4 linked regions of the Ovis aries genome follow. The protein of the gene in region 1 interacts with the protein of each later gene in a pairwise test. Links are inferred from orthologs where the notes say so. Each region holds a gene or a part of one and is shown in the gene's direction. Other genes may lie near its edges.

Region 1 (2,381 bases):
CTGGAAGAGCCCCTGGCCCGCCTAGGACCTACTCTTAAGAGAACAGTGGGAGAGCAAGCCGGCCTGTGCACACAGCTCACCCTCTCCCCACTGCCCGTCGTGTGGAGCACATGCTTCCACCCCAGGGCCTTTGCACATGCTGTTTCTGCAGCCTGGAGCACGTCTCCCCCATTCCTCACGAGGTTCGTTCTGCTCGATTGAGTTTCTGCAGCCTTACCTCTTCAGCATAGCAGTCCCCACCTTGATCATTCAGTCATTTCATCTCTCCTCCAACCAGCAGGGGAGCTGCAGGCAGGGATTCCTACCACCGGTCATCTGTGGCAGGCAGTGTAGCATAGCAGCCAAGGACACACAGACCCTGAGGCAAGACTTCCTGGGCTCCAGTTCTGGCTTTGTAGACCACTAGCCATGTGAGTTTGCACAAAGGAGTCAGCCCCTCTATGCCCTCCATTTCCCCCATCTGTAAAATAGGCATGGGACTTCCGTGGCAGTCCAGTGGTTAAACTCCGCACTTCAACTAGGGCCTCCCAGGTGGCTCAGTGGGGAAAAAATAAAATAAAATCTGCCTGCCAGTGCAGGAGATGCAAGAGATGCAGGTTCGATCCCTGGGTCGGGAAAATTCCCTGTAGGAGGACACAGCAACCTGCTCCAGTATTCTTGCCTGGTGAATCCCATGGACAGAGGAACCTGGTGGGCCACAGTCCATGGGATCACAGAGAGTCAGACACGACTGAGCTTCCACTGCAGGAGGTGCAGGTTCTATCTCTGGTCGGGGAACTAAGATCCTGCAAGCCTCGTGATGTGGCAACAAAACAAAACAAAACCAGGGGCAGAAATGCCCTGCACCTACCCAGGCCTGTCCTGTCGTCATCTCAGTAAGTATCTGAAGGAAAGAAAGGATTGCAGGAGGCAAGGCAGGAGTAGGGTCCTGCAGGAACAGTGATGAAGATGGGTGTCTGCAGAGAGTGCCCTGATGCCCCATCCCCTGGCATAGGCTCGTAGCAGGGCGGTGTGTGGTGGTCCCTCTCACCGGCTTCCCCTCCCTCCTTCCCCGCAGTGGCTGAAGGACCCTGGGCCTCGGACAGAGAAGCGGACGCTGTGCTGTGACGTGGTGTGCTTCCTGTTCATCACGCCACTGGCCGCTATCTCAGGCTGGCTGTGCCTGCGAGGCGCCCAGGACCACCTCCGGCTCCACAGCCATCTGGAGGCCTTGGGACTGATCGCCCTCACCATCGCCTTGTTCACCATCTATGTCCTCTGGACACTGGTGAGTGGCTTCCAGCCAGACAGCAGGCATCTGGGAGCAGACAGGTCAGGGGCTTGGGCAGCAACTTGGATGGAGCTGGGGTGGAGGATGGGGCGGCACTCTGCCTGCCTGGGCTTGTGGCTGGCACGTGGGGTGGAAGCAACTCCCAGCATCTCATGGAGCTCCAGATTCCAGGCCGGTTTGAGGTCCCAGGAGCCAAGCGTGAGGCTTCTGCCCGAGGAATGCAAGATCATGGGATCACTTCAGCTGAGTGCAGGCTGCGCTAGCCACGAGTCCCATTAAGACCTGGTTGTCTGGGTTTTGGGGGCAAGGGGAAGGGAGAAGAGGCTGAGAGCCACTGGAAAGACTGTGGAAGAAAAGGCAGGAGAATGAGAGAGACAGAGAGGACGATCAAGAGACTGAGCGAGACTTCCCTGGCAGTCCAATGGTTAAGGCTGCCAGTGCAGGGGACTTGGTTTGATCCCTGGTCAGGGAACTAAGGTCCCACAGGCCATGTGGTGCAGCCAAAAAATAAAAAACAAAGAGACTGAGAGAAAAGGTGACTGGGGTTGGGAGAGAGTGAGTGTGGTGAGGGTGTTGTCCCCGGGTTCTGGCAGGCATGAGAAGGGGGGAAGGTCCCACAGATAGAACCACAGCTATGGGGGTGCCCCCTCCTCAAGAATTATTTGCAGTGCACCCACCAAGCAGATTTCTTAATACAAGTAGGATGCATCATAGGTCCTGCTTTGCAGTCTGCTTGTTTTCACTTTGCTAATGTCCTTAAAAAAAAGAGAGGCAGTCACCCAACAGTCCTTCATTGTGTGGGTGTGCTATATTTATTTAACTAATCTCTTTTGATGGACATAGGGATTATTCCAATTTTTTTTCCTTCTCCTTTATTTGCTGTTATAAACAGTGCTTTGGGTGCCACCCGTGCAAATGTTTCTTGGAACTTCCTTGGTCAAAGAGTAGGAACCACTGACATTTACTGGGAAAAAAAAATTTTTTTTAACAGATTTGATTCACTAGAGCAGTTCAAGTGGAGAAGGCAATGGCACCCTACTCCAGTACTCTTGCCTGGAAAATCCCATGGATGGAGGAGCCTGCTGGGCTACAGTCCATGGGGTCGCACAGA
Region 2 (4,296 bases), on another chromosome or scaffold:
GAATGCAGGCAGGGCCTTTGTAAGCTCTGTTCTAGAGAGCTTGTTCCTAGCACTGGACAGGTGGGACCAGGGAGGGGGTTAGGCAACCCAGATCAGCCGCCCTCTCTAAGGGAGTTGGCCCCTCACTTTCTTCTCCCTCACTTTTTCCTTCCTCCCTTCCTCTCCTCCCCCTCCCCCTGTCCTCCTCTCCCTCCCACCTGGCCCCAATTGTGCTTGGTTTCTTTACAAATAGCCTCCTCTTCCTCAGGAGCTCTGAGGCTATTCCCAAGAGCTGAGGGTTCACCTTCGGTGGCTGTATGAGTCAGAGTTCTCCAGAGAAATGGAACCAATAGGAGGTATGTATGTGTATGTATATGTATTGTTGCACTCACTCACTGAGTCATATCTGACTCTTTGCAACCCCATGGACTGTAGCCCACCAGGCTCCTCTGGCCATGGGATTTCCCAGACAAGAATACTGGAGTGGGTTGCCATTCCATTCTCCAAGGGATCTTCTCAACCCAGGGATCAAATCTGGGTTTCCTGAACTGGCAGGTGGATTTTTTTTTACCACTGACTCACTATGCATATATGTGTGTGTAAAGAAAATTTTATTTAAAGAATTTGGCTCATGCCATCATAGAGCTAGCAAGGCCAAAATTTGCAGGACAAGTCAGCAGGTTGGAATGTTAGGGAGGGGTTGAGGTGTAGTCTTGAGCAGAATTTCTTCTCTGGGAAACCTCAGTCTTTGTTCTTAAGGCCTACAGCTGATTGAATGAGGCCCATTCACAGTATCAAGGATACACAATGTCCTTTACTTAAAGTCCACTGATTATAGACATCAACAGCTACAAAAAGTGCCTTGATAGAAACATCTAGACCAGCACGTGATGGAATAACTGGAGACCTTAGGCTAGCCACATGGACCATAAACATGACCACTGAGGTCTATTCAGTAGGGAAGCTGAGGGAAAATTTGACTTAGAATAGGGGGTGCAGGGCTGGGGACACTGGAGGCTCCAGTAAGCAGGCCCCTCTTCTGCACATCTCTCCTTTGGTTTTCATGGTTCCTGTCCAGGATGATCCAGGGTGTCAAAAGTCATGTCCCTTGCCTGGGAATTCTGGATGGGGTAAGGCAGGATGTGCTCTGTAGAGGATGCTTTCTGAAGGGGGCTATGGCCTGGACTGTTAACCAAAGCTGGCCTTGCAGAAACCACGGTGGGATCTAAACCTGCTTTGGCCACTGACCAACTCTGGAGTCCTGTGCCAGCCCCTCCCTCTATCTAGAAATGAGGTCAAATCGGATGAGCTGAGAGCCAGGGCAGCTTTCCCAGGCAAAGATTCAGAGTCTATCGCTTCTCCTAAGTTGCTTACAGAGTAGCAGAGAAGAAGACCTTGAACCCAGCCAGCAAGATACAGCAGGAACAGGAGGTGCTGGGTCTAATGCTTGAACTCAAAGTGGGAGTCTGGCTCCACCCCTGTGTCCAGATATATCTTCCGCAGAGAGCTGATTTCCCAAGCCTCCTCCGAGCCTTGGACCCTGTGCCTTCTTGGCCATTGCTTACAATTGGTGGTGATGGCAGGAGGAGCAGTCCCTAACCTCAAGGAAAAGATGCAAGTGCCAAAGGATGAAGACCTGCTTCTTGGAAGCTTTAGGGATAACCAAGAGCGCTCAGTGGCAGCAGGTGAGGATCCCCCGTAATGTCCCTTCCCTTGGGTATCTACACCTGTGCATGCATGTTAGAAAATGCGCAGGTTTGGCTTGGCAGAAGCATGAATGTGTGTTTGCATGTATTTGTGGGTACCTGTGTGTGAGGTAATGGGATTGATAAAAGTGAGCCTTTTGTAGCGTGTGACGGGGAAGGTTGGATGAACACCCCTCCCATTGCAAGCCACCAGTGGATCTTAATGCAAAACACTCAGTGGGTTCAATTTATAAGATCATTCAAAGCAATTCTCTCTCCTAACCTTCCAGTACCTTCTTCTGCCCTTTAGAGTAAAGCTCCTTTCCATGATCTACAAGATCCACATAAGGTCACCTCCTCAATATACTTCCTGCTGTGGCATGCTGACTCAGTCCACAGTGCCTTTAAGCCTGTCCTGTAACATCCCAAGACTCTTTCTTCTTCACAGCCTTTTCACTATGTGTTCCCTCTTTCCTCAGATTTTCTATGGCTGGACTCTTTCTCTTTCAGGTCTCTGCCTCAGTGTTGTCTCTGACTTTTCTAGAAGTATCCCCTTCCTTCTGTCTTGTTATCCTGTTTTTATTGTTTTGGGAGCATGCATCTCTTGATTTGCACTGATGGATTATTTCCTATAACCCCCACTCTCGTTACCACTTTCTCTGTACACACACAAACAATCAATTTTTTATTGCTGTGATCTTATTTCTTGGCCATTGCTTGCTCTTTAAGAACCTAGCCCAGAGCTTGACACTCAGTAAACACTTACTATATTTTGAGTACATGAAGAAATTGAGACCTGAGATTAGCCAGTAGATGCCAGAGAATGGGTGTTGAGTGCTTCCTAAGATGTTGGGGGACCCTATCCTATTTTTTGGTGTGTTCTGTGCCCATGAAACCTTGGGATAGCCTCTATGGGTATTCCTTGGGCCTCTGTTCTTCTCCCTAGAAATGAAGGAGCATATATCTCGGTTGCTGGGTGCTTCTCAGCGGCGACAGAAGGTGGATCCAAAGGCTGTTGGCTCTGCTGCGGTTTGGAATATGGCTGCAAACCAGTCCAAGAAGGTGGTACTGTATGGCATTTGGTGGCTAGCTTGAGTTTGGGGGAGTTTGCTACAGTTGTAGCAGCTCTGGTATGGAGATGGTAGGTCAAGCAGGGCAGATGTTGACTTTGGGGGAAGGACAAAGCTCCTGTGTTCTGGGCAGGCAAATGAGGGCAACAAGGTCTGGCAAGAGATCATGGCCATTCTTTGTTAGTTCAACCTTGAGGGTCCAGAATGTCTGAAACACACATTGCTTGTGGAGTACATATCTACTTTCTTTTATTAATAAATTAGTAAATATATCTATATTTGAATCTCTATATGTATATATGTATATATCTATATGTTATGTCTACTCTCTATATATATTTCTATATAGAAATATGCAAAAGTATAAAAATCATTATATATATATATATATATATATATATATATATATATATATATAGTTGCTGTTTAGTCTCTAAGTTATGTCTGACTTTTTGAATCCCCATGGACTGCAGCATGCCAGGCTTCCCTCTCCTCCACTATCTCCCAGAATTTGCTCTAATAAATGTCAATTGAGTCAGTGATGCTATCTAACCATCTAATCCTCTGCTGCCCCCTTCTCCTTTTCCGTTTAATCTTTCCCAACATCAGGGTCTTTTCCAGTGAGTTGGCTCTTTGCATCAGATGGCCAAAGTACTGTAGCTTCAGCAACCATCCTTCCAATGAATATACAGGGTTGTATATATATCTCTAAGCATATATAAATATAGATATACATGTATCTATATCTATCTTAGGGCTGGGACTAGGGTAAGGCAAGTGAAATGCCTATGCTCTCTGGCTACTAGGAAATCCAGTCAATTGAATCTGAGCATTTTGTAGCCAATCCTTTAAGTTACATTCTATATGAGTGAGGGAATGTTCTAGAAAAAATGGTGGCTATACTGTTGCAAAAGATACTGAGAAAAGGCAGTCATTTTGGAGAAGAGAAAGTCCTGACTCTTCTTGGGAATCACATGAATCCCATCATCCTTCTGTAGCCAATTCTTTTAACTACATTCATCTTGGGTGACAGAAAATTTTAGAAACATAGTTGTTAAACCACTGCACGTTTACTGGGAAAGGGCAACACCTTTGGAGAGGAGGGAGACCTGAGTGTTCCAGGCAATCATGTGAGTCTCATGTTTTGTAGCCCATCTGATAAGTAAGCTACTTTTGCTGCAGATGCTGGCAATTTTAGAAACATGGTTGTTTTACTGTTGCAAAGGTTATAGGAGGTAGAGGGAAGGCAAATTGACTGGAGAGGCAGGAAGACCTGATGTTCTAGAAAATCAGCCGAGTTACATTTTGTTCCTCTGTAATGAATTTTTAAAATTATACTAACCATATGAGGGAATGTTGTAGAGAAAATGGTGGCCATGTTGTTGCATTCAGTTCAGTTCAGTTCAGTCGCTCAGTCGTGTCCGACTCTTTGTGACCCCATGAACCACAGCACGCCAGGCCTCCCTGTCCATCACCAACTCCTGAAGGTTACCCAAACTCATGTCCATTGAGTCAGTGATGCCATCCAACCATCCCATCCTCTATTGTCCCCTTCTCCTCCT
Region 3 (4,005 bases), on another chromosome or scaffold:
GGGCAGGGCTTTTCAAACTGAATATGCATTTGAGCCTCCTAAAGCTCTTGTTAAAATGCAGGTTCTGGCTTTGTGGGCCTGGATGGGATTCCGTCTCTCACACATGATGAGGTCCTGCTGGTCCGAGGACCACACTTTTGAGAAGTGAGGAGATAGGTAGAGGTAATGTGTGAACTTCTCAGCCACCCACATCTATAACGCAGCTATGCCTCCTTTCAACTGTGAACCTTGGGCAAGTAACAATGTTTCTGTGCCTCAATTTCCTCATCTGTGAAATGGAGATGATAATAGTCTCCATCATTTGTGGTCAGGAGGACTAAGTGGGTTAACATATGTAACACCTGTAGTGCAGCATGTGACAAGACAAGCGTTCAGTACATGTTAGCAGTTGGTGGTGGCAATAGGAGTTACTAGAGAAACGCAAACTAAACCACAGTAAGATAGCATTTCACACCCACCAGAGGCGGATGGAGGTCAGAAAGTCTGACACTTTCAAGACTGAGGACACAGACACTCTTGTCACTGCTAATGGGGGTGCAAACTGGTACAGCCTCCTGGAAGAGTGGTTGGGTAGTATCTGGTGAAGTTGGGGGCCCCTGCAGTGTGATTCCAGATATATGTGTGTGTGTATTTCTAGAGAGTGTGTTGGGTGTTGAGTGGGGAGGACAAAGAGATCCATCTACGGGGGCACCGCCTTTCTTCAGGATGAGGGGAAAAGAAGTTTCAAGAGACAGATGAGAAAGCTGAAACTCAGGTTAAGTGACCTATCGTTTTAGTGGAAAACACATATTCTTTCCACATAGATTATGTGTTTCATTGAACAAATATCAATGAAAGCACGATCCCTGCTTTTTAGCCACTAGAACCTTAATTCTGGGTATTTCCGCCTGGATCTTCATGCAGCTGGGGGGGACCTGAGATCCTCCATCTCATCATCGATGTGGAGAAAAATCACACACTGAAAAATTTCTGGGTTCAGCTTCCCTCTCAACCCTGCACCATGTGACTCAAGGGCAGTTTCTCGCTCTCTGAACCTCAGACTCTTCTCTCACATAGAGAATTCTGGCGTTGGAGCGTGGCTGTCAGCCTGCAGAGAGGGAAGAGGCCAGGCCGGAGCAGGGCCCTCCTGCCCTCTCCTCTTCTCAGGAGGCAGCCTGGGAGGAGCCTGCCCACAGGGAGGGTGCGGCCAGGAAAGGCCTCCTGTCATTCCTTTTCCTAGCTGCCCTTGGTGACAGGCCGGGAACCTGGCAAGTTTTCTGCACTGCCAGGGCCGGAGACTGGAGCTGGGAGCCGGAGACATGAACAAGATCTCCCCCCAGGTAAGAGCTGCCCCGAGAAGGCTCCTGACCTGGGGGGCAGGGCGCGGGGCAAACCCCGGGATAAGGGTGGGCAGTAAAGAAGGGAGACACAGGTCCCCCACCGCCCCGGAGGCTCTCTACCACGTTGTAGGGAGATGCAACAGGTGAACCAGGTACATGGTTCAGGCAGTGAGAGCTGGGAGGGGACAGGAGGCCAGGGGAGGGAATGATCAACATTAAGGGGGGGCGCCTGGGGAGCTTCTCCAAGGGGGTACCCCCTGAGCTGGTTTGAAGGATGAATGTTTGCCAAATAGGCAGTGGAGGAAAAGGCTTTCCAGGCAAAGGGCACAGTACAGGCAAAAGTGTGGGAACATAAAGCAGACATGAGTGTGGGGCAGCCGAGTGGGAGGGCCAGTGTTTCCACCCAAGGCTCTTGTGAGGCTTCTGAAAAACTTTTCAGTCTAGCTGCCTGAGGCTGGACCTCCCCTCACCTCAGCCCACCCCACATTCTCTTCTCTTGGGCAGGGGGATGCCAATGGCAATGCTGCTGCTGGAAGCAAAGCCCTCCCTGGAGGGGAAGGTAAAGGCCGGGGGACCTGGGGCCAGCCCCTCCCCCACATGGGACTTCCTTGATGCTGGGCGGTTGCTATGGAGACACAAAAGCAGCTCCCTAAGGCTCTGTCTCTCAGACCTCTGCCCCATTGTTGATGTCATCCATTCCCAGTGTCCCAGCCATCTGTACTGATGGCCATTTGCTAAATGCATAAGCTCATGTGCTGCCCACCCCCACAGACATACACTGCCCCCCAAAACCCATAGAGGAAAGAGCTCTAGAGGCCAGTCCCTGACTCAGGGTGACCCAGGTGGGTCTCTACCTCTGAGGGATAAGGTGGGAGGGATCTCACATTTACTGAGCACCTGCTCTCAGCCACAGGCTCACCAAGTGACCAGGACAGTGTGCTTTACTTCTGTGGAATAAGAAGAAAAAAATACTTTTATTGAGCACCTACTATGTGTCCAATCTTGACTCTCACTTGACCACTGAGGGGAGAGACCCAGAGAGGTAGCTACTATTAATAACTATCAAGGATCAAGGCCCTACTGTGTGCCCAGCACCATGGGGCCTCTTCTACACCCAATGGTCAGCTCCGAGGGGGTCTCTTGTTCGGTGCAATAGCAGATGAGGCAGCTGAGGTGACGTGAGGTCGGGTGGTTCAGCCAAACTGGGATCCCGCACGGATGGGAGGCGTGAGGCAGGGTTCAAATTCAAATTAGGGTCCCTCGGCTTGCAGAGCCCCAGTATCTTTTTGCTACACAGTGGCATTCATTTATTTCAACCCTGCTTTATGAAGGACCTGGCATGGAATAATGGCCTCCTTTTCCCATCTGTCCCCAGGGGGATCAGCACTTAAGGGCTTTCAGGCTTTGAAGTGCAACCTTCACCTGGCCATGGACCCTGAGACGCTCCTGTGACCCCTCCTGCCCCACCTGTGCTGCGCAAATATTTGAGAAGCAGCTGCTTGGCTGACCGACCAGGACGCTTCTCCTTGCCAGCCTTCTCGCTGTCTCCCTGGTTACCTGAGTTTACAAGGGAGCCACTGACCAAGGCTGCAAGGAATGTGGGCTTTAGATTTATGCTGCGTCTCCTAATATTTCTCCCTTCCCAAGGTACCCCCACCCTGGGCTTCAGCCACACTTTCTGTCCCCCACATGCCATCAGGACCTCTACCCTCCTGGGCCCTCTACTTGGACTGCGCTCTCCTTGCACCTTCCCCTCACCCACCCGTGGAAATCCCATCCTCCTTCAAACACCCAGGACGCCCCATTCACCACCTTGGTCACCTGGCTGTGCGAGCTGCTGGGGTACAGGTACTGGTCTGCCTGATGGACCAGCACAGAGCAGGCTGCTCTGAAAATGTGAGTGGACTGTATGGAAGAGACCTGAACTGACTCGAACTGGGTTCTTCCCAAGGCACCTATCGTGTGCCTGCTGCTGGGCTGACCTCTGGGGACACATGCCCCTGCCCTTCCCTCAGAAAATAGTCCCCGGGGGACAGAGAAGCGCTCACGCTCTTGTTTTTGTGTCCAGACCTTGTCTTCTAAGTGAGACTGCAAGCTTTTGGAGGGCAAGGGTCAGAGATGTGCTTGCTTTTATGTCCTCTACAGAGCAGGGCACCTGGTGTTAGTCACTCAGTCATGTTCAGCTCTTTGCAACCCCATGGACTGTAACCTGCCAGGATCCTCCAGGCAGGAGTACTGGAGTGGGTTGCCATTTCCTTCTCCAGGGGATCTTCCCGACCCAGGGATTGAACCTGGGTCTCCCATGTTGCAGGCCATCTGAGCCACCAGGGAACTTAGAAGGTCCCCAATAAGATTTTCTTTCATTATTTCAAAAGCCAGAAAAAATTCAGGAGCAAAGTCAGTTAAAGGTGTCACTATCATTTCCAGATTGGCACATAGTAGACGCTCAATAAAGACAAATAGTAGCTAGAACCTTTATAGCACTTACTATGTACCAAGCCCTGTTCTGATCCAGTACCTAGCTCAATCCTCTCAACAATTCTAATGTAGGCATTGGAGCCCCATTTCCCACATGAGGAAAACAGGCACAGAGAAGTAAAGGGGCTTCTCAGTGTGGCCCAGCTGAAAAGTGGTGGAGCTGGGATTCCAACCAGCATCCTGGCAGGTTCCAGAAGGAACAATCACT
Region 4 (4,300 bases), on another chromosome or scaffold:
CACAGAGGGACTCAGAGGCTAGGCGGGGCCAGCCCAGTCCCTGTTTCCCCTCAACAGGGTTCTCTTGCTCACAGACTTAGGAAGAACCGTGACTCACTTCCTGCCTAGGTCTGACTGCAGAAGCATTGTTTTCCCAAGTGTAGCTGGGGCTACCCCAGGGTGGCCCCAAGGAGCCTGCTCCCTGGGGATCATGGTGGGGAGAGCAGTTCCCATTCAGAAAGAGGGCCAACCCGACTCACCTCCCCGCTCAAATTTCAGGGCCCCACATTCTTCCCCGAGTTTCTAGGTTTTGTGCTGTTCATGTAGGTACCCAAATCGTATGTTATCTCACTGGTTCAATATTATCTCCATTTTACAGAGGGGTAAATTGAGGCTCCGAGAATTAAGGTCTTGTCACTGCTGTTCAGTTGCTAAGCCAAGTCCAACTCTTTTCAGTCCCATGGACCGCAGCATGCCAGGCTCCTCTGAACTACATTATCTCCGGTTAAGTAAAAGTGTTACGTGCTCAGTCGCATCTGACTGTTTGCGACCCGTGGACTATAGCCCACCAGGCTCCTTTGTCCATGGAGTTTCCCAGGCAAGAATACTGGAGTAGGTTGCCATTTCCTATTCTGTCTCCCTACTATCTCCCAGAGTTTGCTCAAATCATTGTCTAAGGTTGGCACAGTTTAAAATAGTGCCGTTTCGACTTGAACTCAGGTTTAGGGGTTGACTGTCACCTAGTGAGTTACTTTACAAATGCTACTAACTTCTCTGGGCCTCAGTTTCCTCCTGTGTAAAGCGCAGATAGTGATACATGAAAGCTGCCTAAAGGAAAACTACATCCACCTTGCAGAATCCATGGTAATCATGGAGCAAGTTAACACATGGGAAAGAGCTCAGAACATTCTGATCCGTTTTCCTCATCATCCCCAAACCTGTACTGAAGAGATCACAGGATAACACTGTTCTGCCAGGTTATCGCAAAGGGGGCAGGAAGGGATGGGCAGGGACTGCTCTGTGACCTTAAAATAACCCAGCCTGTGGAGCTCTGGGCTACACTTCCCCTCTTTTCTTTCTCAGCTCAAGCAGTGATGGTCTCAGCCAAGTGGCACAGACGTTTTCTAGGGCAGGGACCCAGGGAGAGAGAGGAGCTGGTTGGTATATTGCAAGGAGCTCAGATTCAGGCTCTGCCAAAGCTCCAGATCTCTTCTGGGATCTGAGGCCTGTTAGTTGTGGGATCTTCAGCAAATTATCTAAACCTTGTGTGCCTCAGTTTTCTTATCTGTAAAATGGGATTGATAACGTCAGCCTGAAAGGATTAAGAAGATTAAATAATGTACATAAGAAGGAGATAATATAAAGTGATTGACCTGGTTCCTGGCAGGCAGTTGGAGTTGGAAAAAAAAAGTTTAAAAAAATTAAAAGGGGATGGGCTAGCTGTTCTGCTCATCCACCTGTCTATATAAATGCAAATAAAGTAGTGAGTCTTCTAACTGTAGGCCGCGAGGAAGTTTGCCCAGACGCGGTGAAGACCGACCTCAAGGGGGGTACTCCAGGTGCGTCATCCCAGGGCACTTAACCCGGTCGTGCCCAAACTCGTGGCTTAGGAGTGGGGAAGTGGCTGGGGGTGGGGATGAAGCCCAACTCCCCCAGAATCCGGCCGAGACTGGGCTCAGAGTGACTCCTCGAGTCCTTCCCAACCCTTGCCCGGGATGCCGAGTTCAAGTCTCCCCGGCCGCCGGCCCGGGGAGCTCGCGGGGCTAACAGCCGAGCCCGGGGGGCGGGGGCGCTGGCAGTGGGGTCTGGGGGACCCGCCGAGCGGCTGCGAGGGCTCTGGGATCGCCGGCCCCACTTCCTACCTCTGCCCCGAGCTGGAGCCGGAGGCGGCAGACGCCCCGGAAGGCCTCGGGGCCCCGGCGCTCCTGCTTGGAACGCGGGCCCGGGCCCGGGCCCGGGCGGCATGGGCGGCGCGGCGGGCCGGGCCGGCGGGGCGGCGGCGGCGGCCGGGAGCGCGGAGGTGGCGCCGCGAGGGGGAGGGGCGCGGCGGCGGAGGAGGAGGAGCCCGGGCCGCCGCAGCCGCTGACAGCGGCCCGAGTAAACAAGCCGCGCCGCCGCGGCCCGGCCGCTGCCCCCGCCCGCGCCGGAGCCGGAGCCGAGGCCGAGCCCTGCCCTGGTCGCCGGCCCGGCCGAGGCCGCGCCGCCGCGCCTCCCCGCCTCTGCGCGGTGACGCTGCTGCCGGGCGCGGGGACCGCGCCGAGCCCAGGCCCCCCGGAGCCGGGCTCTCCGCTCGGCCGAGGGGCGCCTGAGCCGCCCCGGCGCTCGCCTGGAAAAGTTTCCCCGCCCGGGCTCCCTAGGGTAAGCAGCGAGGGCGCCGGGCCCCGGGGGGAGGCAGCGCGCCGGGAGCCGGGCCCGACGAGACTGGGCCGCTCTGCCGGAGGAGCGGGCTCCGCGGCCCGAGCGCCCAGGCCGGAGAAGGGTCGGGGTCGCTGGCGCGGAGGCAGCCCGGGCCCCGATGCCCACCCGGCTTTCGGAACTGGCCCGCGGGCCGGCGCGGAGGGTGGAGCCGCGGGGAGCAGGAAGGGCATCCCGCAGCCCACCTGAGCGCGCTGGGCCCCCGCGGGTGCCGCTGCTCTTCCGCCTGGGGCGGGGGCGAGCCCTCTGACCCCAGGAAGCGCCCGCGGGGGCCGCCGCCGGGGGCGGGATGGGGAGAGGATTCCAGAGGCGCCGGGCGCTCCCGCCTCCCCGCCGTCCTTGGGGGCAGCCGCCGCCGGCTCGCCCACTCCGTGGCTGGGGAGGGCCTGCGCTCCCGCCGGGGGAGGGGCGGAGCGGCTGCTCGGGGCGGAGGGGATTATTCACCGCCGGGGCCTCGTCCCCGCCCGCACACCTGGGCGGAGAGACACTCAGGTGCGGGGTCTGCGGGCGCGGGGAGGCTGGCTCCCGCGAAGGCCTGGCCGAAGCCCCTGCTGCCCCCGTGGGGTGGCCTGCATGCCAGACAGGTCTTAACAGCAGTCGGTTGTCAGGTCAGTGCCTCCTTCCCGCCGTCCGCTCACCCCTTACCCCTGGGATACAGACCCTCCTCCACAGGAGGGTGTCGAAATTCTTTTTGCCTCGGGAAATGGGAGGGAAACCCAGGTGATGTGGCCTAGTGAGGGCTGGGCAGCCGCTGGCCAGGTGTGGAGACAGCCGAGGAGAGGAGCCAAGCTTGACTCCTGTTCTAGAGCCGCCCAAGTTTTACGATGTCCTATATTGGGCTTCCACATAATATTTGATTTTTTTTTTTTTTAAAGAGGATTCTGTGGCTTTCAAAAAAAGTTTGAAAACCTCTGGTCTAGCAGTTTTTACCACCTAGGAAAACTGAGGCCCAGACAGAGAGAGGAAGTGACCTAAGATCACATAGCAAATGAGTAGTTGAGCAAAGGCTGGGATTCAGAATTTCAGCGGAGCCATCAGTGCCTGCTACAGGAGCTGGTTTGATGTCTCTGCTGGAAAGAAAGAACCAGTTTTCCCAGGCAGCCCTGACCACGCCAGACCCCCTGATGCCTGGGAAACAGCAGCTGGACCTGGGTGAGGTTCAGTTCGGATGCCTTGGAGAGGCTGGCTGCGTTGGGAGCTTCCTGGGGCGGGAGAAGAGAACACAGCCAGGAAGAGCACCCACAGGTCTCTCTGTGGCCAAGTCTGGAGTGGAGCCCCATAGAGGGTTTCACAGGAGGCTGGAAATATGGCAAGCCTACCAGTTTGAGCTGAGCAGGGACTCAGAGGGTGAGTCAGAGTCTAGGATGGGGGTGGGGAAAAGAAGCCCATTCATTTATTGTTCTTAGCGCCTGTTCTTTGAGGTGGGGGCCATCCTCCCTGCTTCCGGGATGCTGAGGCAGGGCTGTTTGGGGCTTCAAGCTCTGTGGAAGCCATATCCATGGCTCAGCGTGTCTGGGGATGCTGAGCAGACGGAGGCCAGTCCTTTCTTGGAGGATTATTTGGTTGTGCCTGAAGCCCGCTTCCTTTTCGGGTCCTGCAAGGTAATTAAATAATCACCTTTATCAACAAGCAGCTGTGGCTCCACCCGCAATATGCCAGAACTTGGGCTAGACCCAGATGAATCCGGTCTTGATGTGTATATGGGGGGGGTCCAATGTGGCTCATAGCACTGGGGTCAGGAGGTGGCCTTGCTTGACATCTGAACCCAAGAGGCAGCTCTTGTGTCAGGAAGGGGAGATGAGAACTTGTTTCTATAAGGCCCTGCCCCTAAGGCTCTACATCCTCTGTTAAGTGAGGGCACAGGGCCCCTTCAACGCCCCCCACCCCCAACCCTCCCCCTCCCCAA

Evidence for each region.
Region 2: the proteins of MARCHF2 (region 1) and FATE1 interact in binary tests that used the Homo sapiens proteins (3 or more experiments, as listed by UniProt). The two-hybrid records come from large-scale screens. The link is inferred for Ovis aries from reciprocal best matches to the Homo sapiens genes MARCHF2 and FATE1.
Region 3: the proteins of MARCHF2 (region 1) and LDLRAD1 interact in binary tests that used the Homo sapiens proteins (3 or more experiments, as listed by UniProt). The two-hybrid records come from large-scale screens. The link is inferred for Ovis aries from reciprocal best matches to the Homo sapiens genes MARCHF2 and LDLRAD1.
Region 4: the proteins of MARCHF2 (region 1) and FURIN interact in a protein complementation assay, tested with the Homo sapiens proteins (2 studies listed by BioGRID). The link is inferred for Ovis aries from reciprocal best matches to the Homo sapiens genes MARCHF2 and FURIN.

What each region holds. Positions count from the first base shown.
Region 1 is NC_056058.1:14,792,324-14,794,704, forward strand, and holds part of MARCHF2 (E3 ubiquitin-protein ligase MARCHF2), read left to right. Parts: intron 1-1,057; coding exon 1,058-1,267; intron 1,268-2,381. UniProt on the Homo sapiens protein: E3 ubiquitin-protein ligase that may mediate ubiquitination of TFRC and CD86, and promote their subsequent endocytosis and sorting to lysosomes via multivesicular bodies.
Region 2 is NC_056080.1:84,015,895-84,020,190, reverse strand, and holds the start of FATE1 (fetal and adult testis-expressed transcript protein), read left to right. Parts: upstream 1-1,496; 5' UTR 1,497-1,555; coding exon 1,556-1,664; intron 1,665-2,610; coding exon 2,611-2,726; intron 2,727-4,296. UniProt on the Homo sapiens protein: Involved in the regulation of endoplasmic reticulum (ER)-mitochondria coupling. Negatively regulates the ER-mitochondria distance and Ca(2+) transfer from ER to mitochondria possibly implicating it in the regulation of apoptosis.
Region 3 is NC_056054.1:28,543,904-28,547,908, reverse strand, and holds the start of LDLRAD1 (low-density lipoprotein receptor class A domain-containing protein 1), read left to right. Parts: upstream 1-1,205; 5' UTR 1,206-1,298; coding exon 1,299-1,319; intron 1,320-1,823; coding exon 1,824-1,878; intron 1,879-2,694; exon of another isoform or gene 2,695-4,005.
Region 4 is NC_056071.1:21,104,155-21,108,454, reverse strand, and holds the start of FURIN (furin), read left to right. Parts: upstream 1-1,500; 5' UTR 1,501-1,538; intron 1,539-2,078; exon of another isoform or gene 2,079-2,337; intron 2,338-2,832; exon of another isoform or gene 2,833-3,002; intron 3,003-4,300. UniProt on the Homo sapiens protein: Ubiquitous endoprotease within constitutive secretory pathways capable of cleavage at the RX(K/R)R consensus motif. Mediates processing of TGFB1, an essential step in TGF-beta-1 activation.